Linked DNA regions of Xenopus tropicalis. The protein of the gene in region 1 purifies or fractionates together with the protein of each later gene. This does not show direct contact. Links are inferred from orthologs where the notes say so. Each region holds a gene or a part of one and is shown in the gene's direction. Other genes may lie near its edges.

Region 1 (7,439 bases):
GCCATGGGTTGGTTTTTGTGACTGAAAGATAAAACTTGGCTGAGGCAGAGGAAACTCACTGAATGTGTAAAAATCTGAACCTCTTCCACATTAACACTTTTCAAGCTTATGTAAGAAAAACGGTTCACTGGTTGTGCAGTTGTGGTATCTGTTATGAGCAGAAAGCTGTATGAAGAATTCTAAGCCTAAAGTTACTGTTTTTCCCCAAAAGCCAACAAAGGAATGATACTTTGCTATGGGATGCTAGGTGGTATTCTTCTATTTGTAGTAAATATAAATGGTCTACAACAATCAACCAGTAATCGTTGTGTAGCGTGCCCTACACATGGGGCCTATGTCTGGCACTGGCATAAACACTGGCAGCGAATGAACAGACACATGAAGTAACTATGGCTCCCAAACTGCTGCAATTTACCCTTAGTGGTGTTCATGCTAACTTCCCTGCCACAGCTCCAAGAAACCCCCACAGTTAAAAAAACATTAATCCCGGATATGGCATTAACACTTTATTCTGAATAGAAAATGTTACACAGCCTTCAGTTGGTTATTTGTGCAGTCCAGCTACACAAGTTCACTGCCTGCTTAATGCTGTACACTAGCCTAAAGTAAGGGAGAAACATTTTCTCTTTATGGTTGTGTTAAACATTTAATCATTCGTAACTTAAAAGCAATTTGATTAGATAAAATTAAGTGCTGCTATTTCTATTTTTTTCCAGTTTGAGACACCATGGCCGGGGTGTTTCCATATAGACCACAGGCACCGCCAATGCCCGGCCCCCCAGGTGGAACACCGGACTACATGTCTGAAGAGAAGCTGCAGGAAAAAGGTGCAACCTTCTTCAATTTGTTGTAAAAACCAAATGCTCTTTCAAAGTCCTTGCATACTTGGAGGGCTTCATGTGTCGTTGCTCAAAATGTAATTATTGATGAACTCGGCTGAATGTCACATACTAAACTAAATCTGACTAAAAGAATTGCATCTTCTGTGAACAAAAAATTGTTGCAGTATGCTTTATCATTTTAAAGTTGTGTGAGTGTTCAGTTTAGCTGAATGTTGGGTAACAGTAGTACAAATATATTAAAGAGGGAAGAAGGTTTTTTCTTTTTTAAATTTTGAGGATAAGTTAAGTACATACTGAGAAATTAAGCTTGAAATATCTTTGCTTGCTGATCATAGTAAAGAAACCACCTTTCTTTTTTGCCCAATTTTCTTAATTATGCAGGATTATGTTTGCGTTTTTGCTTCATGTTTAACACCAGTATGGTAGTAAATTGGATAGCTTATTCATGTCATATTTTTTTTAAACTGTATAGTTGTCTCATCCATGTTTCACTTATTTTGATTCCAGCACGAAAATGGCAGCAGCTACAGGCAAAACGCTATTCAGAGAAAAGAAAATTTGGGTTTGTGGATGCACAGAAAGAAGATATGCCTCCAGAACATGTTCGCAAAATTATTCGTGATCATGGAGACATGACCAACAGAAAGTTCCGACATGATAAGAGAGTTTACCTTGGGTGAGAGAATTAATTTCGGCAACATACCAGCAAGGCACTAACCTAAGCTGACAGACAGTAGTCCAGTGTAAATTAAAAAAAAAAAAGCCTGCAGAAGCAAGGTGCAGTTGTTTAGCAGGTAAAACAAGCAAAACTCAGTGGAGTGTAAGGATTGGAGTATTGCAGTACCACATTAACTAAACATAAATTGCCTTTGCACATTTTTTTAAATTGTAATAGTTAACCTCATGCTGTGATTTTATTTAACATTTTAAATTTCCAAAGTTCTGTTTTATGGTTAAGTGTATCCTGGTTTGTTTTTGTTTGTAGAGCATTGAAGTATATGCCACATGCTGTCTTAAAGTTACTTGAAAACATGCCCATGCCTTGGGAGCAGATCCGTGATGTCCCTGTGCTGTATCATATAACAGGAGCCATCTCATTTGTTAATGAGATTCCATGGGTCATTGAGCCTGTCTACATAGCACAGTGGGGGTAAGTGCATCTTGTAATAATATGGTAAATTAAACAGCTCTGTGTGCCAGTAGCCTGTGCAGGGCTAACAACATTAATTGATAATAAGCTTATGATCAAAATGCATTAAAAAGATAAAGCACAATCTAATTAAAAATCCTGTGCATTTATTAAGAGAGTTACTGCCATAGGTTTACATTGATGTTTCACAACATATTTGGTTAATTGGAAATGTTTTGTGATTTTAGTTCATGTAGATACAGTGCAAAAGTCTAACTTCCTAATGCAGTGCTAAGTGAAACATGCTGGGATTTTGGTGTTTTGTATCCTAGAAAATAGTGCAACTGATGCAATTACAGCCTGGCATATTGGGTCCTGAGAATAGCACTGCCTCAGTTTTATTGTCAGTAGTCATTTAAGTTTAATGTCCCTAAACCCTTTCTTTAAAAACAATCTCATATATGAATCCATATTCCTATTGACTTTGTATTTTCTATCACAATAATTTACCAGGTCAATGTGGATTATGATGAGGCGAGAAAAAAGAGACAGACGGCACTTCAAGAGGATGAGGTTTCCTCCATTTGATGATGAGGAGCCTCCACTGGATTATGCTGACAATATCCTTGATGTTGAACCCCTGGAAGCCATTCAGCTTGAACTGGACCCAGAGGAAGATGCTCCAGTCACTGACTGGTTCTATGATCACCAGCCCTTAAGAGACAACAGAAAGTAATGCTAGTTACTTACTCTATTGGTTTTTGTATCTGTAGACATAATGCTCATTTCTCCTTGTATTGGCTAATTTTGTCAAATAGTTTCCAAGCCATGTTTTATTTGTAATGCCTTTCATTTTCAGGTATGTGAATGGTACTACTTATCAGCGGTGGCAGTTTACACTTCCGATGATGTCTACATTATATCGATTGGCTAATCAGCTTCTGACTGACCTGGTTGATGATAACTACTTCTACCTGTTTGACCTAAAGGCATTCTTTACCTCCAAAGCATTAAACATGGCTATTCCTGGAGGGCCAAAATTTGAGCCTCTTGTTCGTGACATTAACCTGCAGTAAGTGATGTTGCTGTGATGTTTGTTTTTAGTACATTTCCTGGTGCAAGCAGATAAAATTGATTGATTTCTCTTTTTATACAGGGATGAAGATTGGAATGAGTTTAATGATATTAACAAGATAATTATCCGACAGCCAATTCGAACAGAATACAAGATTGCTTTTCCTTACCTGTACAACAATCTTCCTCACCATGTACATTTAACCTGGTAAATTGTTTTAATTTTTTTTTTTGTTTGTTGCTTTTTTTTATGCCTTACCTGTTAAACTAACTGTGTAAATGTCTTTTTTAGGGCTTTTCATTACTTCTATAAAGCTGTTTTAATTCATTTGTCTAACTCCGTATTAACTTGTAATTTGCTCTTGGAAAGGGTTAGCTTGAGTTTTCTGAATTTGTAAATTATGCGTAGGGCAGTAAATAAGCACTTTAGGATTGTTCTGTGAAGCTGTATTAAAGGAGACATATCATATAAAAATTAAGAATGTACCAGTGAATTATACTCCTCTAAATATTGAAGGATTGTGCTTAAAGTTGTCTCGGACTGGTTTATTGAGAAATTCCACCAAAACCCCACTAGTTTCGTCCATCTGTTCCACTTCCTGCTGGCTGAATTCTCTGGATGAGCTGGGGAGCTGGCAGCCCTCAGCACACTGCACTGTAGGATAGGAACCAATCAGCAGCTAGGCTGACCTCATAGGGAACTGAAGCCTGTCTGTGCTTGTGTGAGTGCAGGGCTCTGATTGGCTCTCCCCCCTCCTACTGTGCTTCTGGCAGGGAATTTTAGGACACGCCCACTCTTTATTTCACACTGGACGGAGAAGTGATACGATCTATAGGGAGCTTCAATAAAGGGGCAATTTTTACAGATAGGATTAACTTTTAGCCCAAAGTGATACCAGCACTGTATATTATTCATAATTGCCTACAATATTAGGGTTTTTTCCATTCATCCAATATGTCCTTTAACTTTTATGATTTACTTTTTGCAAAAGAGGAGAGAAGCTATTCGTGCCATGCTAATTGTTATGTTTTCATTCACAGGTATCACACACCAAATGTGGTTTTTATCAAAACTGAGGATCCTGATTTACCAGCATTCTATTTTGACCCACTGATTAATCCCATATCACACAGGCATTCTGTAAAGGTGAGAAATTCTAGAGTAAAGATAATTGGATACATTTTATGTAGGTTGGAAGTTATTCAAGGTTGTTGGTTTTCATTTTGCTTGCTTTCGTTATAGAGCCAAGAGCCATTGCCAGATGATGATGAGGAATTTGAATTGCCAGAATATGTTGAACCATTCCTTAAAGACACTCCTCTGTATTCAGATAACACCGCTAATGGAATTGCTTTACTTTGGGCTCCTCGTCCTTTCAACTTGCGTTCTGGTAGGACCAGGAGGGCTATTGATATTCCTCTTGTGAAAAACTGGTGAGCAAACTTTCATTCAGACTTCAGGTTTTATTGCAGTAGCTTGATATTTATTACTTTTCCTACAATGTTAACCTAGTTCCGTCAGAAAAAGTTTTGTGCAGGACAATTTATATAAAAGGTGCTTGATATTTAATTTTTAAAAATTTTACACTTAATATTCCTGCTGTTGGCAGTTCAGTGGATTTTTTTTTTTTTTTGAAGAGCCCATTGTGGCTAAAAATGTTTGTCTGCCAGGTAACCAGCTGCTGTTAAAGAGGAGGAAAACTCCGAAAACTTGCATATTTGTCTTTATTGCTGTACCTTTTACTAACTTTTTTTTTTTTGATTTAGTAAATTGAAAGAAAAGCTATACAATGCTGTTATGGTCTCTTGCTCAGGGCCTTTAACGAAACTGACTGTGACACAGTACTTTCCATTGTCGAAGAACAGGAACAGCACCTCTTGTCTTTTTATATGAAGATGTTGCAATAAAGGCATTTTAATTTAAAAAGACAAGAGGTCCTGTTCCTGTTCTTCGACATTTGGATATACCGATGGAAAGTGGCCATTGGGGAACCTGCACTGCCTCTAATTAACCACAAAGTTTGGTGCTGACTACTACTCTCCAAACAGTACTTTCCATTGTCAGCCTGTCCCAGAGTCATTTTGCCCCTGCAGATAGTCTTTAGATTATTGTTACAATATTATTTAAAGCTTGTTCAGAAATGAATAGGATCATTAAAATGGGATATTTGTGTTGACAGCATGTTTTCAGTGTTTAAGTAACTGACCAGTAAGAATATTCCTTTCATTCTCAGGTACAGAGAGCATTGTCCTGCTGGCCAGCCAGTAAAAGTCAGAGTATCTTACCAGAAATTGCTGAAGTACTATGTGCTAAATGCTTTGAAACACAGGCCTCCAAAAGCTCAGAAGAAAAGGTAAGCAAATTAAGTTACAATGCATGTAATCTGAAGTCTTGTAGTCTACTTTCTGCTAAATGATTATAATCCTTTTGCAGGTATCTCTTCCGTTCATTTAAAGCCACAAAATTCTTTCAGTCGACAAAGTTGGACTGGGTGGAAGTAGGCCTGCAGGTTTGCCGCCAAGGCTATAACATGCTGAACTTGCTGATTCACAGAAAGAACCTTAACTATCTTCATCTGGATTACAATTTCAATTTGAAGCCAGTAAAAACGCTGACCACAAAGGTATGTCAATGATTCTTAAATTGTGGGAATTTTGAAATTGATTCTTATCCTTTAGTGGATTATTTGCTGTTACATTTATACAGTGCCTTTCAAGAGTTTAGACCCTGGCCTGGACCTATTCTTACCTTAATGACAAACAAGCAAATCCCGCACTGGCATTTTGCTCCTTGTGATATTCAAAGCAATGAAACTGTGTAGGATTTTAGCAGCAGGTTCTCTACTTGCCCTGCCTAGTAGCATAGTAGTCACTTTATTAATTTAGAAAAAAGGAATAAATAAAGAATTAACTAAGGGTTATGAGGTGTATGACTTTTGCAGTTTCTGATAATTATGCTGTCCAGTAAAGGGTTTATAGTTTGCTTGTACTACATAGTTTCTCATTGCTTTACTAATTTGGCTAGGGTTCATGGTGAGCTCTTGTGAGCATAACTTTATGATCCACCTATGAAGGCTTGGGTAACACCCACTCTGACAAGTAGATGCAAAACAGTAACATATGCCACTTATAAGCATTTTAATATGAATACACTTTTTTTTTTTTAAGGTGGTTCATTAAAATCTATGATCTTAGTAGGGTAAAAACATGACTAACAGTTTTTGAAGAAGAATAGTTGGCAGAGAAAAGGGGTTAGTTTTCCTTTTAAAAAAGGAGCTTAACTTTGTATTATAGGAACGCAAAAAGTCTCGGTTCGGCAATGCCTTCCATCTTTGCCGCGAGGTCCTGCGTCTAACCAAACTAGTTGTGGACAGCCATGTGCAATACAGACTGGGGAATGTTGATGCTTTCCAGGTAAGTGTTGGCTTGCAATGTGGATTCTTAACTAATTTGCTCCAGTTGAAAGCAAATAAGATCTGAAACAGTACTGAAAAATCTAAATTTTTCTTACTTTTCAGTTGGCAGACGGATTACAGTATATTTTTGCCCATGTGGGGCAGCTGACTGGAATGTACCGTTACAAGTACAAACTAATGAGACAAATTCGCATGTGCAAGGACCTGAAGCATCTGATCTACTACAGGTTCAATACAGTGAGTATTTGCTCTTATAGTCTTACTTAGAATCGCTTTTCTTTTATGGTTTTTAACTGTATGTGACTGTCTCTGCAGGGTCCAGTTGGAAAGGGGCCTGGCTGTGGATTTTGGGCAGCAGGCTGGAGAGTCTGGCTCTTTTTTATGCGTGGTATCACACCTTTGCTGGAAAGGTGGCTTGGAAATCTGCTTGCTAGACAATTTGAAGGTGAGCTATTCTGCTCTTTCTAGAATGGTTTTTATGTGTCCAACATTTTGCTGCTGACTTTTTTTGAATGACCCTGATTGCTTTTAATGCAGTGGATGTTTATTTTTTTAAGGATACCCTCTAATTAAGGAGACTCAATTTATTGGTTCCCCTTGGAGCTTCTGGAATAGTGCACATCTGTAGCGAGTTATCACAGGAGGCTTTCATTTGTGGAGCTCTTACGGTCTCTTTAACCTTTTTCATATCAGGTCGCCATTCCAAAGGAGTTGCGAAAACTGTGACAAAACAGCGAGTGGAGTCTCACTTTGACTTGGAGCTCAGAGCTGCTGTTATGCATGACATATTGGACATGATGCCAGAGGGAATCAAGCAGAACAAAGCCAGAACCATCTTGCAGCACTTGAGTGAAGCTTGGAGATGCTGGAAAGCTAACATTCCCTGGAAGGTGAGAATTCCCCCAATCTCATTTGCCAGGATGCATTTGTTGGCATAATTGCTACTTAGTGACATGTTGCCCTCTATGCAACCTTTGA
Region 2 (7,539 bases), on another chromosome or scaffold:
ATGCCGCCCCCCCTCTCCCCCTGCGCTTAGCTTTTTCGTGTCAGAGGGGGTGAGGGGGGACAGCATTGCTAGCTCAGAGAGAGAAATAGCACTCTCTGAACTAAAAGAGCAAAATTCCCATTTAAAAATCAGAATTTCGTCTTTTTAAGTTACCAGGAGCGGATTTTTGCCGCCCCTAGTAAATCACCTGGCACTGTCGCCTGAGGGGAGTTTCCTGCAGGGTCGGACTGGGGCCCTGCAGGTGCCCCCAAGTCCCCTAACCCTACCCACTGGGGCGCCCGTAACCCTCCTGACTTCCTCCCCTGAGTGCGCATAAGTTTAACGCCTCAGTGGAGGAACAGTCGGGCAGGGGGAGCGCTGGCAAGTGTTGGGTCTGGCCGCCGGGGCCCACTGGGATTTCTCCCGGTGTCCCAGTCCTACCCTGTGTTAAAACTATTTTGTGCTATGTTTGTGCACTACGGCACATTGTACTGTCTCACAGTATGGGGACAACACACACACAGCCCAGGTTTTACACACATTATAATTAAGACACACTGGTAAATTGCTTAGAATTGCATTCTCCGCTTCCCAGAAAAATTTAGATGGAAACCCCTTTTATGATCCTTATAATTAAACCTACCCTCAAGTCTACTATGGCCTCCCTGTGGTGATTACTATACTCTATTACAGTGATCCCCAACCAGTGGCTCAGGGGTAACTTGTTGCCCCCCAACCCCTTGGATGTTGCTCTCAGCGCCCCCAAACCAGGGAGTTATTTTTGAATCCCTGACTTGGGGGCAAGTTTTGGTTGAATAAAAACAAGATTTCCTACCAAATAAAGCCCCTGTAAGCTGATAGGGTGCATAGAGGCCCCTAATAGCCAATCACAGCCCTTATTTGGCTCCTTTTTGGTGCTTGTGTTGCTCCCCAAGTCTTTTTACATTTGACTGTGGCTCACAGGTAAGAAAGGTTGGGGACCCCTGCTCTATTAGAACGTTATACCACAACCTCGCAAAATATTCTGAACGCGTACAAACGCAGTAACCTAGCAACCAATCCCTTCAGAAACGACATCCCGCCCCAAAGCCCTGATAACCCCGCCATGTAAAATTGGTTCTTCAGAAAAGGCAGCAGAGAACTCAATCACTCTATTTAACTACAATTCCCAGAATTCCTTTACTCACACACCTGCGCCAAGTCGTTGCGTGAGGTGTATAGCGCTCCCTTATTGGATAACTATTCTCTCAGTGGGAGGAGCCGCTGGCTGCTCAGGGCTCGGAACGCTTGAGGAGGGAAGTTGTTTCCACGCCGGAGTCTTTAGACAGTCGCACCAGCTGTTCTCTGGCGGTTGGAGTGATAGTGCAGCATGGCAACCATGGCGGTAAGGTACTTGGGATTTTTTAGGGTTAATGTGTTTAAATAGCTGAGACGCTGTTGAGGCGCTCGGCCTTCCTTGGTAATATTCTACCTTAAAGGCGCCATGTTATCCCCCTGTTATCCTATATGGTATGTTTAGTCTAAGGCATGGCTTCTGGTGTGTGCCTAGTAGCGGCCCCTGAGCTGCTCTGGTACTGCTTCCTCATTGGGCTAACACAGCACATCCTTTTCTTATTGAGTGGGGCTTATTTACTGAGCTCGTTTGCACCTGGGCAGTAACCAATAGCAACTGGGCAGCTTTGTTTAGCCACTCGCAGGAAGAATAGTTAAATGACAACTAAACCTAAAATTGCTAGAATGTGGCAGCCACACCTTCTCTAATCTCTGGCCTCCTTTCCCAGGCTGGTGCTCCATTCTATTTAATGTAAAGCACCTTGTTGCTGCCTCCCTGCTTTCTTCTAGGTACCACTGAGGCTGTAGGTTAGTGACTGGTATCATGGCTGTCATGGTCGGACTGGGCTGTGAGACACTGGGGAAAAAAACCCGGGGGGCCCCGCCGACCCAGACCCGATACCTGTAAGTGCTGCTGCAACCCTGCTGCCTTTCCTCTATGTTTGTGGCTAAGTAAATGTAGGTGAGTGTAGTGGGGGCCCCGGGCACCCAGCCCAACACTGCTAACAATATGGCACCCCACCACAAATGTATGTGTATTTTTCCTCTTTACAGCAAACATTTGTATTTCATTGGTTGCCATAGGTTACTTCATCAGGACAGTTTTGCTCTATGTTAGTCAACATATAGTGCCCAGGGAGAGGCAGCAGGAACCTGACCAGGCCAAATGGGGTATAGGGGGCACTGCATATAAAAGAGTAACCCAGATCTACACACTAGCTCCAGAGAAACAGCCTATAACAGATATGAGATACTTTTCCTGTGGCTATGCATAGGTTCAGGTTTGTAGTTACATGGCGTAAGATTTCATTCCTTTATCATTATTGGAAAGTGAAAAAGAGCTCTTGTTTCTATGCAGTATATTCAGGCCTCTTAGTGCAGCCAGCCTCACCAGAACTGAAACATTTACTCCATAGCATTCTGCTCAGTTGACTGCAAAAAGCTGAACTATGGTTGCCATGGGGTTCTGCATCACCGTAGGGCATGCATCTGTTTGTAAATTCCCCCCTCTGTGAAATGTGTTGGTGTGTATGGCCACTTTTATATGGAGCAGTAGTGTTGGTTCATGGTAAGCAAATTAATTACTCTATAGTTGAATGCAATGTAGACCAAAGATGCTTTCCTCCAGCCTTTCCATCATCCTTGGATATAGCCATGCAGTAGCTAGGGGGGTTGCTTGTGGTGTAGTGGCAGAGGTATGCTGAATATTCTGGGCCTCTGGGGATGAATTATTTAACACGGTGTTAGTCTCAGTAGCTTTGTTTTGCTTGTTCCTGGATAGACAGTCTGCCAGTTTAGCCCATCTTTTTTTGTATGACCAAAAAAAAAAAAAAAACAGCTTCCTGGTTACGAATTGTCCAGAATAAGGCAGATTTTTAGTGCAAATGTTAGTAAATCCTTTCAATTAGATAAACTGCTCACCTGCTTGAGCTGTTATTTCACATCATACTCCCTGTCAGATGGCTTGTGTTGCCTGGTGTGACAGGGGTGTATGTAGTTGCTCTTGAGTACTATAAGAGTAAAATGACTCCAGTTCCATGAATTACCCGTGTGTTTTGGGTATCCTATAGCAGGACAGTTTGCCTTGGTTCTTACCATCCCGTATCCTATTGTTGGAGAATTTGCTTTGCAAACAACCTTGATTTGTTACTAGGAAACCGTTTGTTAACGGGGAAGATCCTTAGGGCAGACTGTTAGGATGGTAATGACAGGCATAGGCCGAGGCAGTTTGCAGTTGTTCTTATATAAAGGTAGGGCTAAATGGGCATGAGGTGGACAAAAAACAATGTTCAGCTCACAACATGCAGGGGTGGGGCAAATACATTTGGAATTCTCAAGAGGTAATCTCACATTCTGTAGAAAACATTGGTGAATCTTTATAAGCCAATGTCTCCTGCATTTATTTTGCTGCTGAGTTGTAATTAGTATTTCATGCATTGATGTCTAAAGGAAACCGTGATCAATATTCATGGTTATTTATGTCTCATAGACAACCAAGGTGCCAGAGGTGCGAGATGTCACCCGGATTGAGAGGATTGGTGAGTGTAAAAATACTACAAAAATAAACACAAAAATAACCTGCTAAACATGATGTGGTTCCCATGTAGCCCTCCTATTCAAATAACTGAATATTTTAGAACTCATGTATTCACCTCCATTGCATCGTGACACTTTTTGTTTCCATGGGCAGCAGTGCAGTTTAATCAACAAACAGTCTCCTTGGTGATAAATAGCTACAGAGGGTTGTAACTTTGCTGCAATCCCAGGCATTAGCATCACAAAGTTCCATCACTATTTTCATTTACTTTCAAGCCAAATGTGTTTAATTTTATTTATCTAATTGCAACAACAATTTTAAACGCGCATTATACACCCCTTTTCAAAAATTTTGAGTGCTGAGCATAATTTTTTGCCTGTTTAAAGTAAGAAATATGTTGCTAATAAGGAATGCCCACAGTGCCTTTTTTCCTACACTTTGGTCAAGCTGTTGGCTCTGTGCCAGATTATTTTGATAACATATATATATACTATATATGATAAAATAAAACATATATATTGCTTAACAAATATCCAAATAATAAAATATTTCAAGGAAACAATTTGTACATGTAATTGCAAATGAAAGCAGTGTCTGTTTATGTTTTTCTCTAACTCGCTTAAGACAATATATATTCACCTCCATATCCATTAAATCAAACAGCGGCTTCCAAGCCAAAATTAGTTAAAGAGCCCCACACAACACAGAAACCCCTAATATACCTATCCCTGTAATCTGTTCCATTAAAAAGTATGAATAAATACCATTTTATATGCTGAAATCCAGCTGTAAAACATTTATTTTTCTGCATTTGGCATCCTAGCATTAGCACGTGTAACAGTGCATATTAATTGTATGAGGTAGTCTGGGTATGTATAGATTAATACAAAAGATATCCAACACATTAAAATTAGTCTGTGTTTTGTGTTTCCTACCTATTAACTGCTTATTTTTGTGTATATAGTCTAACATTTGTCTCTCTTTGCCAGGCGCACATTCTCACATCAGAGGGCTTGGCCTTGACGATGCGTTGGAACCCCGTCAGGTACTGAAAGCGCTCTAATACTATAATATGAATGGTTATGAATTTTTGCTTATAATGACACTGGTTAGCGTTAGACAAGCAAGTGGCAGATTGGATACGTGTCGATCTGTCCTTCCTTCTAAAAGTAAATTTAACATCATATGTGCAGGGAATTGTGGGATTTGGAGTATGCTGGCTGAAGGCAGGCTTGTCAGCCAGATCAGCAGGAGAACAGGGGGCAGGGCTAAGGGAACTGTTCTAAACCATATTACATACAGTGGTGTGAAAAACTATTTGCCCCCTTCCTGATTTCTTATTCTTTTGCATGTTTGTCACGCTTAAATGTTTCTGCTCATCAAAAACCGTTAACTATTAGTCAAAGATAACACAAGTAAACACAAAATGCAGTTTTTAAATGAGGGTTTTTATTATTTAGGGAGAAAAAAAATCCAAACCTACATGGCCCTGTGTGAAAAAGTAATTGCCCCCTGAACCTAATAACTGGTTGGGCCACCCTTAGCAGCAATAACTGCAATCAAGCGTTTGCGATAACTTGCAACGAGTCTTTTACAGCGCTCTGGAGGAATTTTGGCCCACTCATCTTTGCAGAATTGTTGTAATTCAGCTTTATTTGAGGGTTTTCTAGCATGAACCGCCTTTTTAAGGTCATGCCACAACATCTCAATAGGATTCAGGTCAGGACTTTGACTAGGCCACTCCAAAGTCTTCATTTTGTTTTTCTTCAGCCATTCAGAGGTGGATTTGCTGGTGTGTTTTGGGTCATTGTCCTGCTGCAGCACCCAAGATCGCTTCAGCTTGAGTTGAAGAACAGATGGCCGGACATTCTCCTTCAGGATTTTTTGGTAGACAGTAGAATTCATGGTTCCATCTATCACAGCAAGCCTTCCAGGTCCTGAAGCAGCAAAACAACCCCAGACCATCACACTACCACCACCATATTTTACTGTTGGTATGATGTTCTTTTTCTGAAATGCTGTGTTACTTTTACGCCAGATGTAACGGGACACGCACCTTCCAAAAAGTTCAACTTTTGTCTCGTCGGTCCACAAGGTATTTTCCCAAAAGTCTTGGCAATCATTGAGATGTTTTTTAGCAAAATTGAGACGAGCCATAATGTTCTTTTTGCTTAAAAGTGGTTTGCGCCTTGGAAATCTGCCATGCAGGCCGTTTTTGCCCAGTCTCTTTCTTATGGTGGAGTCGTGAACACTGACCTTAATTGAGGCAAGTGAGGCCTGCAGTTCTTTAGATGTTGTCCTGGGGTCTTTTGTGGCCTCTCGGATGAGTTGTCTCTGCGCTCTTGGGGTAATTTTGGTCGGCCGGCCACTCCTGGGAAGGTTCACCACTGTTCCATGTTTTTGCCATTTGTGGATAATGGCTCTCACTGTGGTTCGCTGGAGTCCCAAAGCTTTAGAAATGGCTTTATAACCTTTACCAGACTGATAGATCTCAATTACTTTTGTTCTCATTTGTTCCTGAATTTCTTTGGATCTTGGCATGATGTCTAGCTTTTGAGGTGCTTTTAGTCTACTTCTCTGTGTCAGGTAGCTCCTATTTAAGTGATTTCTTGATCTAAACAGGTGTGGCAGTAATCAGGCCTGGGGGTGACTACAGAAATTGAACATTGAATTGATAAACCACAGTTAAGTTATTTTTTAACAAGGGGGGCAATCACTTTTTCACACAGGGCCATGTAGATTTGGAGTTTTTTTTCTCCCTTAATAACGTAAACCTTCATTTAAAAACTGCATTTTGTGTTCAATTATGTTATCTTTGACTAATAGTTAACGGTTTTTGATGAGCAGAAACATTTAAGCGTGACAAACATGCAAAAGAATAAGAAATCAGGAAGGGGGCAAATAGTTTTTCACACCACTGTATATCTATGTAATATGGTTTGGAATGTATATTGCAAAGTTGCTTGGCATTATGTTTTCTTTTCAAAAAGCTTAAGTTGTGTTTGGATGAAGTCCACTTAAATTGTCTTTTGCAGTGTGCAGCTGACAGCCCTCTACATCCACTAAATTCACAAACACGCAGGTGCTTGATAACATCATTCAGCTTGTTACCTCCATGCTTCTTTCCTGAAGCAGATTTTATCTTTATTATTGACACTACATATGGTCACCAACTGTTCAGTGCATTCAAATATTTGGGGGATCTGGCTTAAGAATGCCTCTTAGTAATATGTTCATTTATCGAAGTTCCTTATAAACAATGTGAATAGAAGTGCAGGTACATTATTTAGGAATAGAAAACCTCTTGCTTGGTGCTTATATATTTAATCCCAGTTTAAGAAAGACAAGCTTAGAGACTTTAATAGGCTGTGTACACAATGGAGCACAGAAAGCTATTCTTATGTATTTGTGTAGGTATCGCAGGGCATGGTGGGACAGCTGGCAGCCAGGCGGGCAGCAGGTGTTATTCTGGAGATGATCAAGGAAGGTAAAATTGCTGGGCGAGCAGTGCTCATCGCTGGACAGCCGGGCACAGGGAAAACAGCCATTGCTATGGGTAAATATTTTTGTTTCTATTATTGTAAGGTATGCTACTTTAAGTATTAATATTATGAAATGCCAGGAATGGGGGGGCATTGCCCGTCTTCTTTTTAGTATACATTTAAAGTTAAAATGATTCATATGATGTAAATTACATATGATGCCAGTAAGCAACTGAAGATGTATTGATTTAACAATCTGTTAATGAGTTTTATGTATTATATCCGTATGTTTGTTTGTTTGATGTAAGATCGTTACAAATACATGGATATATTTTAGTGACATTTCTACATTCACACAAGGAGCCGTGACACTGACCAGTTACCTAAATTCAGTCAATAATATTATCAAACATGCCACAGACCAAGGAGCAGAGGGTAGGCAGACTTCAAACCAGTGCAGAGATTAGACCCCATTCCCCATATAGAAGA
Region 3 (7,439 bases), on another chromosome or scaffold:
TCCCTATATGTAAACCTGCCATAAACATGCAGAGTTCACAGATGCCTTCTACTCCCAATACTGATCCTGTTGTACGAGGAGCAAGCGCAGTTAGAGCTAGCTCCAGGATCAGCTTTAATTGCTCATACATGGAAGAGGAAGAAGATGGCGCCTGTGAACTCTGCTGCTTATTTTTAGCAGGTTCACTGTACACTTTTCAGTTGTAATAAAGGAAGAGTGCTTGGAGGGTGGAGATATGAAGGCTTAGTTCTCCATTAAATTGGCTTGTGCTACATCTCACATTACATTCTGCAATAGGAAAGTTGCTTCATGAAATAGCTAGGGTCTAAAGCCGAACACTTTGTATATACACTCAGCTGTATATTCTGTTTCAAAGATAAGTTTAGCACACGCACTAATGGATATTTTGTCTAGGAATGAGATTGAGCAAATGGTGAGCAGCATCCTTTTACAACAGTTACAGTAGTTTGCTGAAACAGAGTTACAGACATTGTCATAATCAAACTGCTTTTAGGACAGACCCATTTTTATCAGAAATCAGAAATCAATTCAAGATTAGGGATGCACCAAATCCAGTTTTTCGGGTTCCGCCGAATCCACCGTGAGGGATTCGGCCGAATACCGAACCGAATCCTAATGGTGGTGAAAAGTTTTTCACTTCCGTGTTAACATGACAAAAAGTCATGTGATATTTTGGATTCGGTTCACCCAGGACCATGGATTCAGCCAAATCCGAATCCTTCCAAAAAAAAGCCAAATACCAAATCAAATCCTGAATTCGTTGCATCCCTATTCAAGATCTGATATTTATCAGACCCTTTAATAATTGGTTCTGAAGTCTAGCAACTGTAGCTGTCTGTGAAGCCACAACATTTAAGAAATAATAAATGATAATTTCCTAAAGTTTTTTTTATTTTTGTAATACATTTAAAATGGAACTTTGCCTATGAGCTAAAGGCGTCTAGTAATCTAATGTTACCTGGGTGGAAATGTAGTTCTGTATGCTAAAGACACTCCAGAGAGACAAAAGAAAGTGTTTGGAGTTTCCTAAAGAACAATATTGCCTGTGCGTTTGGATTGTTTGACTCAGAATATTGTGTCCATTACCTATCTATCCTTCAACATTAGATGCCTTATGTTTTATTCGTTAAATGTAACGCCTATAAGATTCTGATTTGCTTTGTACAGTTGCAGGAAAGCAAATGCCCTTTCAGGCACTCACTCATCACAGGCCTTGGTTCAGCCTTTGTGGAGGTACACGAATCGAGATCAGCCCAAAAATCACAGAAGCATGCATTTTCAGGCTGATCACCACTCTGTGTAGCTCCACACAGGCCGAGGCCTAAGCCTGTCAATTGAGCGAAAGCAGTGAGCTTTATGAGCATATGTTAGGGAGCATGAACACTGATCTGCAGGCAAAGGAAAGTGGACAATCCGCTATGTGGGATCTTGCCTCAATTCTTACTGAATTCGTAGATCCCTAGATTAAAAACAAAAGTGAGCTTTTGAGACTTTGTAGTACATTTAATCAAATGGGTATACCCCAAACACTAAAGGCACACTTGTGATGAAAGGCAGCATGCATGTTTAGAATCCAATAGTTTAACTGGTTTATGCAGTAAAATATAAGGAAATAAGGGCAGGGGATATTGTACGCATTTAATTTGATTTTTTACATGTGTGAGAGCAGTCACTTTGTTTTATCTTGAGGCCATATTCATCTGTTTAATGTTTAAATCCTGCTGGTTGAAATGTTAGGTTTGTTCTCAAATCACCTTCTGGGGATTTTTACAGTGCTGGGCCTTTCCATACAAGCATGGACTACACCCAGAGGAGCTTTCACCTGGATAAGTGAATGCTGACCTAGATATTGACGTGTGTGTGTGTGTGTGTGTGTGTGCTCCTTCGTAGGGTATGTAATTACTAATTTGCATATGTTAGGGAGCTGCCATGGTCACTTATTCTATCTTGGGCATTTACCTTGAAACCATGTGTTTTGTCTGTGTGGCATCACACTTTCTTCTAAATTAATATGTAGATTGCATTTTTACATTGTTAGGGAAACTATATTGGTGGTAATCAGTTATGACAGTTTCCCCTTTTAGTGCAAAATGTTATTATTATTATAATGTCCGAATAAAATTGCCTTTAACATATCTTGGATAGACAACACATTTGTGCTTTCTACCTAAACTGTAATTTGTTAGGTAAGGAATTGCAAGTTTTGCAGTTATGATTTGTTTATATAGTCTTTGACTGGTGTTTCTCTGTTACGTTTCTGTGTGAGCAAATGTATAATTGGGTTTTAGCTGTTTATTATTTTGTTTAATTGGGCGGACATATGACTTGTTAAAGGGTTCTTATGACAGACTGATTTTATATTCAAAGATATGTGATAAAAGTGGCTTGATTTGTGATTTTATGCAATTTGGGGACTTACCAGAAAGGTGTTCTGAAGCTCTTGATTTTGTATAGATACTTTAACTGGTTTCTGTTGTCCTGTCTTATTACAGATGAATATGATGCTTATATCATTGTATCGTTCGTGAATGCCACTTTGGTACTCTCCATTGGTGAAACCGTAGAAGAAGTGACAGATTCTGGTTTTCTTGGGACTACTCCAACTCTCTCCTGCTCCCTGCTTGGTGAAGATGCCTTGGTACAGGTACATTATGCCATTGAAATGCCTGAATATGTATAAATATTCAGAATGACTGTGCATAAATACGAATTTAAGTCATATGCTTACCACGTTCGAATCTAAGGGAGCAGAGTAGTTCTGAAGGTGATTGCTAGTCAAATATGAGAAACTATTTAATTTATTTTCTAGGTGTACCCTGATGGCATCAGACACATACGTGCAGACAAGAGAGTAAACGAGTGGAAAACACCAGGCAAAAAGATCATTGTGAAATGTGCTGTAAATCAGCGTCAGGTAGTGATTGCTCTGACTGGAGGAGAGCTGGTGTACTTTGAGATGGATCCTGTAAGTGGAGGTTTAACGGGGAACCATTTGGGACCCTGTCTCATAAACATTTCTAAGAATTTATGCTAATTTGTGTTTTTATGACCTGCTGTGTTTTTTTTTTTTTTGTTCCTTCTCATTCAGTCTGGGCAGTTAAATGAGTACACTGAAAGAAAAGAAATGTCAGCTGATGTGGTATGCATGAGCCTGGCTAACGTACCCCCTGGAGAACAGCGTTCCCGATTCTTAGCTGTAGGGCTTGTCGATAACACTGTTCGTATTATCAGTCTCGACCCTTCGGTAGGTGCCATTGAGAATTATCGTCTTGTGTAGTAAGCAGGCTGCATCAGATATAGTCTTAAAGACAATGTTATGTTTTGTGTGCTGCCTGGTTATGTCTAACAAAATCCATTTTAATTTTTCTTCAGGATTGTCTGCAGCCACTTAGTATGCAGGCATTGCCCGCACAGCCAGAGGCCCTGTGTATTGTAGAGATGGGTGGTGCAGAAAGACAGGATGAGCTGGGAGAACGTGGTTCTATTGGGTTCCTTTATCTTAATATAGGACTTCAGGTAGGTTAATTGTTTTATAATTATTTTAGTATATACTACTACTTCCAGTGATTAGGACCACTGTGGAGTTGCTCTTGAATGGCAAGTAAATGTCTTAAAGCATAACTGACACCAGAAATGATGCTTTTTTTAATTAAATATTGTTTTATCTTTGTATCCTCTCTTTAATTTCAGCCTATATGGCTATCACTTTTATATTTTTCTGATCTCGTATGTTTCTCTCTGAGGGGGCTGCCATATTTGGGCAGCAGTAATCTGTTTGGAAACAGATTTTAGTTGGAAAATCTAGCCAGTTGGAATCTGGAGTTGCATATCACATACAAACGCTGTCTAATTAAACTTTTGAATGCTGAATGCTATAGTACAGATGTGGATAGTGAAGCATCCAGGAATGAGGCATTTGTGTTCACTTGAGCATATTTGCTCTAATAGCCTTTGAACTCCTAAACATCCAGGGTGGAGTTTTATGTGAGGTGATTATAAGCTGTCCCGTGTCTGCCTTGTAAGGAAGAAAGCTGCATATGTGTATATGCTTTTTATCTGTAAGGTAGAGAGCATTTCTTTAAAGTAATGAATTGCTGGAGGACTAGTTTGCATAGTTCTTTTTTTTATATGAGCAGTGTGAGATGCAGAGACTGCCAAGAAGTAAAGGAAAAAAAGATCCGCCCAGCTTCCTTTGATATCCGTGAAGAGAATAACTAACTGACAGGTTGAGAAGTACCATTTGGGTTTTCAAAACAGTCATGTTTTGGATGTTAAGGTGTCGATTACTAAATAAAGCAGACATCTAGGCAGAAAACAATCAATATAACCTATAGCTAACTGTTGATATACAACATTATTTTGAGGACTACATTTTTGTGTCAGTATCGCTGTTTATAGCTCCGTTCTTGTATTACAGAGAAGCCCTAAAGAGGTCCTACATTTTTCTTTTTGTTTTCTCTTTTATAGAATGGTGTATTGCTTAGAACAGTCTTAGACCCAGTTACTGGTGATCTTTCTGATACCCGAACTCGATATCTTGGGTCTCGACCTGTCAAGCTCTTCAGAGTTAGAATGCAGGGACAGGAGGCGGTAAGTTTCTTTTCCCTATTTCTCCATTTTTAAACATTTTTGTTTTCTGTATACGATGTTTGTTCAGTATCAAACCTTATCATGCCTGCTTACAGGTCCTGGCCATGTCAAGTCGTTCCTGGTTGAGCTATTCTTATCAGTCACGCTTCCACCTCACCCCACTTTCTTATGAGACCCTGGAGTATGCTTCTGGGTTTGCATCTGAACAGTGTCCTGAAGGAATTGTTGCTATTTCTACAAACACACTGAGGTAGGTGGGAGTAAACCAGGTTTTATTTTGTGCTTCTTCTAGGATTTTCACCTTTGCCTGGTATTAAACCTGGACAAAGGGGCATGCATGATTACGTCAACACTAGGGGGCACATTTACTAATCCTCAAATCCAAATCCCGAATGGGAAAAAATTGGATTGGAAACGAAAATTTAGCGTTTTTTTTTTTTTTCGTCGCTGTCGCAGGGTTTTTGTATTTTGCGCAACTTTTTTTTCTCGCGGTCACGACTTTATTGTATTTTGCGCAACTTTTTTCCGTCGCAATTTTTTCGTAAACGGCGAAAAACCAATCTGAATTTGTCGCAACGGCAACGAAAAAGTTGCAGAAAATATACGAAAAAGTCGTGCAAAATACGAAAAAATCATGACGGTGACGAAAAAGTCGCAAAACTACCGACCATTACGAAAAAAACTCATTCGGGCGCTTTCGGACGTTCGTGGATTAGTAAATGTGCCCCTAGGTGTCACTGACATCATCATGGGGGGGTTATTGTCTGCCGAACACAATTTTGAGGGTTTCTGCACCGTTTTTAGAAACTGTTTGAAATCGGGCAGAAGGTATAATAAAGGATAATAACCACAACTTGTTGAATAATCCTTTGTTTTTTGAAGAAAAATATTAATACTGCTTTTCTTGTTTATTAATAAACAATCACTGTTGGAAATAATTGGCCAATGATATAAATCAGTGCTGTCCAACTGGCGGCCCGCGGACCCCCCTCTGTGTGGCCCCCCACCTGTCTGGCTGCTTTGATGGCTTACTCTTGTGTAAGCTTTAAATGGTATCAGTACTGTGATTAACTGCCCCCCCCCTGCATGGTTCTCACCTCAGATTCAGGCTGTATTGTTTAAATATGTAATCCCCTGTACTGTTAACACCTTTTAATGTATGCATTGTTCACCCCCTGCAGTGTTCACACCTCAGGCAAACCCACAAATAATCCCTGCATACTACAAAAAGAACATATACTGAGGTGGTACTGCAATTAAAAAGTTTTTTAATATATAGTTATTGTGCAGACTGTAGGAGCAGTGCCAGCATTGTGTCACTGTAGGCTGCCTGTGTGTGCCATACACACAGGCAGCATAGGGCAAGCAGAGTATGGCACACACAGGCAGAGTAGGGCAGGCAGAGTATGGCACACACAGGCCAAGTTTGGCACAAACCAGCCAAGAATGGCACACACAGTGAAAGTATGGCACACGCAGGCAGGGTAGGGAAGGCAGAGTATGGCACACACAGGCAGGGTAGGGAAGGCAGAGTATGGCACACACAGGCAGGGTAGGGCAGGCAGAGTATGGCACACACAGGCCAAGTATGGCACAAACCAGCCAAGAATGGCACACACAGTGAAAGTATGGCACGCAGGCAGGGTAGGGCAGGCAGAGTATGGCACACACAGGCAGGGTAGGGAAGGCAGAGTATGGCACACACAGGCAGGGTAGGGCAGGCAGAGTATAGCACACACAAAGGCAGGGTAGGGCAGGCAGAGTATGGCACACAGGCAGGGTAGGGAAGGCAGAGTATGGCAGGTTTTTGCTGTACTACAACCATTAATATGGGTATGATCATGTGATAACATGGGGGTGGTTTCAAGTGGGTGCAGTTTCAAAAAGGGGAGTGGTCAAAACTGGCTTCCATTATTGGCCCTCCACCACGTAGGCGGAAAAATTCCGGCCCTCGGTACAACAGAAGTTGGACAGCACTGATATAAATAATCTTGGAAAGAACTTTCGTTAAGGCTGGTGGACTTTATCGTGGAGGATGTTCCACAGGTGGTGTCTTTTTAACTGGAAAATACAGATTTTTTTATTAGGGCAGGGCAAGTTACATTTGGACAGATGCCTGAAATTGGGTCCCAATGAGGGCTTTAGCTACAAGTTTTGGAGGAAAATTTTGATCAAAGAAGACATGCTAAGTTTTTTTTATTTTTGCCTGATCATATTGTATAAGGGGTTTTTTTTTTGTTAGGTAGCTTGGGCATTAAAGAAATGTATTAATTATAACCATTTACTGTAGTGACCCCTTGTCACAAATCTGCTCCAAGCGGGACAGAAGGTGAAAAATGAAACTTTAAATGTAAATATTAGAAAAATGTTTTAGAAAACAATAAAAGTGAAAAAAAGAGGGGTAAACTACCCCTCACTTAGTAGTAGTCAGAACTAGCAATTTGGATCTTTTATACATTAAGGGGCACATTTATCAAAGTACGAATTAGTCCGAATGGAAGAGATTTTTATTTTTTCTGACTTTTTCTGCGTGTTTTCTGCAAAATTTTCATTAATTTCCGCTACTTTTTCGTACTTTGCAACAATTTGTGAGACAAAATTGTATTTGTCATAACGAGTACAAAAGTTTCAGATTCATTCAAGCTTTGGTATCATGACTCCTTTGGCCAGGTTGGAGCTGCAGAGTGCCATTGAGAGGCATGGGAGGCTTCCAAAAACATGCACTGAGGTTCAAAGTTTTTCGCACCTTTTACGATTGTTTGGATACGAAAATTTTGGAACTTTCGAATCGCCCCACAATATTTTCGTACGACCAGGATGCGATACAA

Evidence for each region.
Region 2: the proteins of prpf8 (region 1) and ruvbl2 purify together in Homo sapiens (affinity purification with mass spectrometry; 3 studies listed by BioGRID and IntAct, with this or other methods). This does not show direct contact. The link is inferred for Xenopus tropicalis from reciprocal best matches to the Homo sapiens genes PRPF8 and RUVBL2.
Region 3: the proteins of prpf8 (region 1) and sf3b3 fractionate together in Homo sapiens (co-fractionation; 4 studies listed by BioGRID, with this or other methods). This does not show direct contact. The link is inferred for Xenopus tropicalis from reciprocal best matches to the Homo sapiens genes PRPF8 and SF3B3.

The regions. Positions count from the first base shown.
Region 1 is NC_030678.2:45,521,577-45,529,015, forward strand, and holds part of prpf8 (pre-mRNA-processing-splicing factor 8), read left to right. Parts: intron 1-716; 5' UTR 717-727; coding exon 728-827; intron 828-1,349; coding exon 1,350-1,518; intron 1,519-1,827; coding exon 1,828-1,992; intron 1,993-2,484; coding exon 2,485-2,703; intron 2,704-2,830; coding exon 2,831-3,043; intron 3,044-3,127; coding exon 3,128-3,253; intron 3,254-4,086; coding exon 4,087-4,192; intron 4,193-4,288; coding exon 4,289-4,479; intron 4,480-5,279; coding exon 5,280-5,399; intron 5,400-5,479; coding exon 5,480-5,669; intron 5,670-6,339; coding exon 6,340-6,459; intron 6,460-6,563; coding exon 6,564-6,698; intron 6,699-6,776; coding exon 6,777-6,906; intron 6,907-7,154; coding exon 7,155-7,351; intron 7,352-7,439. UniProt on the Homo sapiens protein: Plays a role in pre-mRNA splicing as core component of precatalytic, catalytic and postcatalytic spliceosomal complexes, both of the predominant U2-type spliceosome and the minor U12-type spliceosome.
Region 2 is NC_030683.2:113,415,665-113,423,203, reverse strand, and holds the start of ruvbl2 (ruvB-like 2), read left to right. Parts: upstream 1-3,324; 5' UTR 3,325-3,520; coding exon of another isoform or gene 3,521-3,569; intron 3,570-4,557; coding exon of another isoform or gene 4,558-4,613; intron 4,614-6,982; coding exon of another isoform or gene 6,983-6,994; coding exon 6,995-7,124; intron 7,125-7,539. UniProt on the Homo sapiens protein: Possesses single-stranded DNA-stimulated ATPase and ATP-dependent DNA helicase (5' to 3') activity; hexamerization is thought to be critical for ATP hydrolysis and adjacent subunits in the ring-like structure contribute to the ATPase activity.
Region 3 is NC_030680.2:75,050,832-75,058,270, forward strand, and holds part of sf3b3 (splicing factor 3B subunit 3), read left to right. Parts: intron 1-2,513; coding exon 2,514-2,665; intron 2,666-2,830; coding exon 2,831-2,986; intron 2,987-3,109; coding exon 3,110-3,265; intron 3,266-3,393; coding exon 3,394-3,537; intron 3,538-4,488; coding exon 4,489-4,611; intron 4,612-4,706; coding exon 4,707-4,861; intron 4,862-7,439. UniProt on the Homo sapiens protein: Component of the 17S U2 SnRNP complex of the spliceosome, a large ribonucleoprotein complex that removes introns from transcribed pre-mRNAs.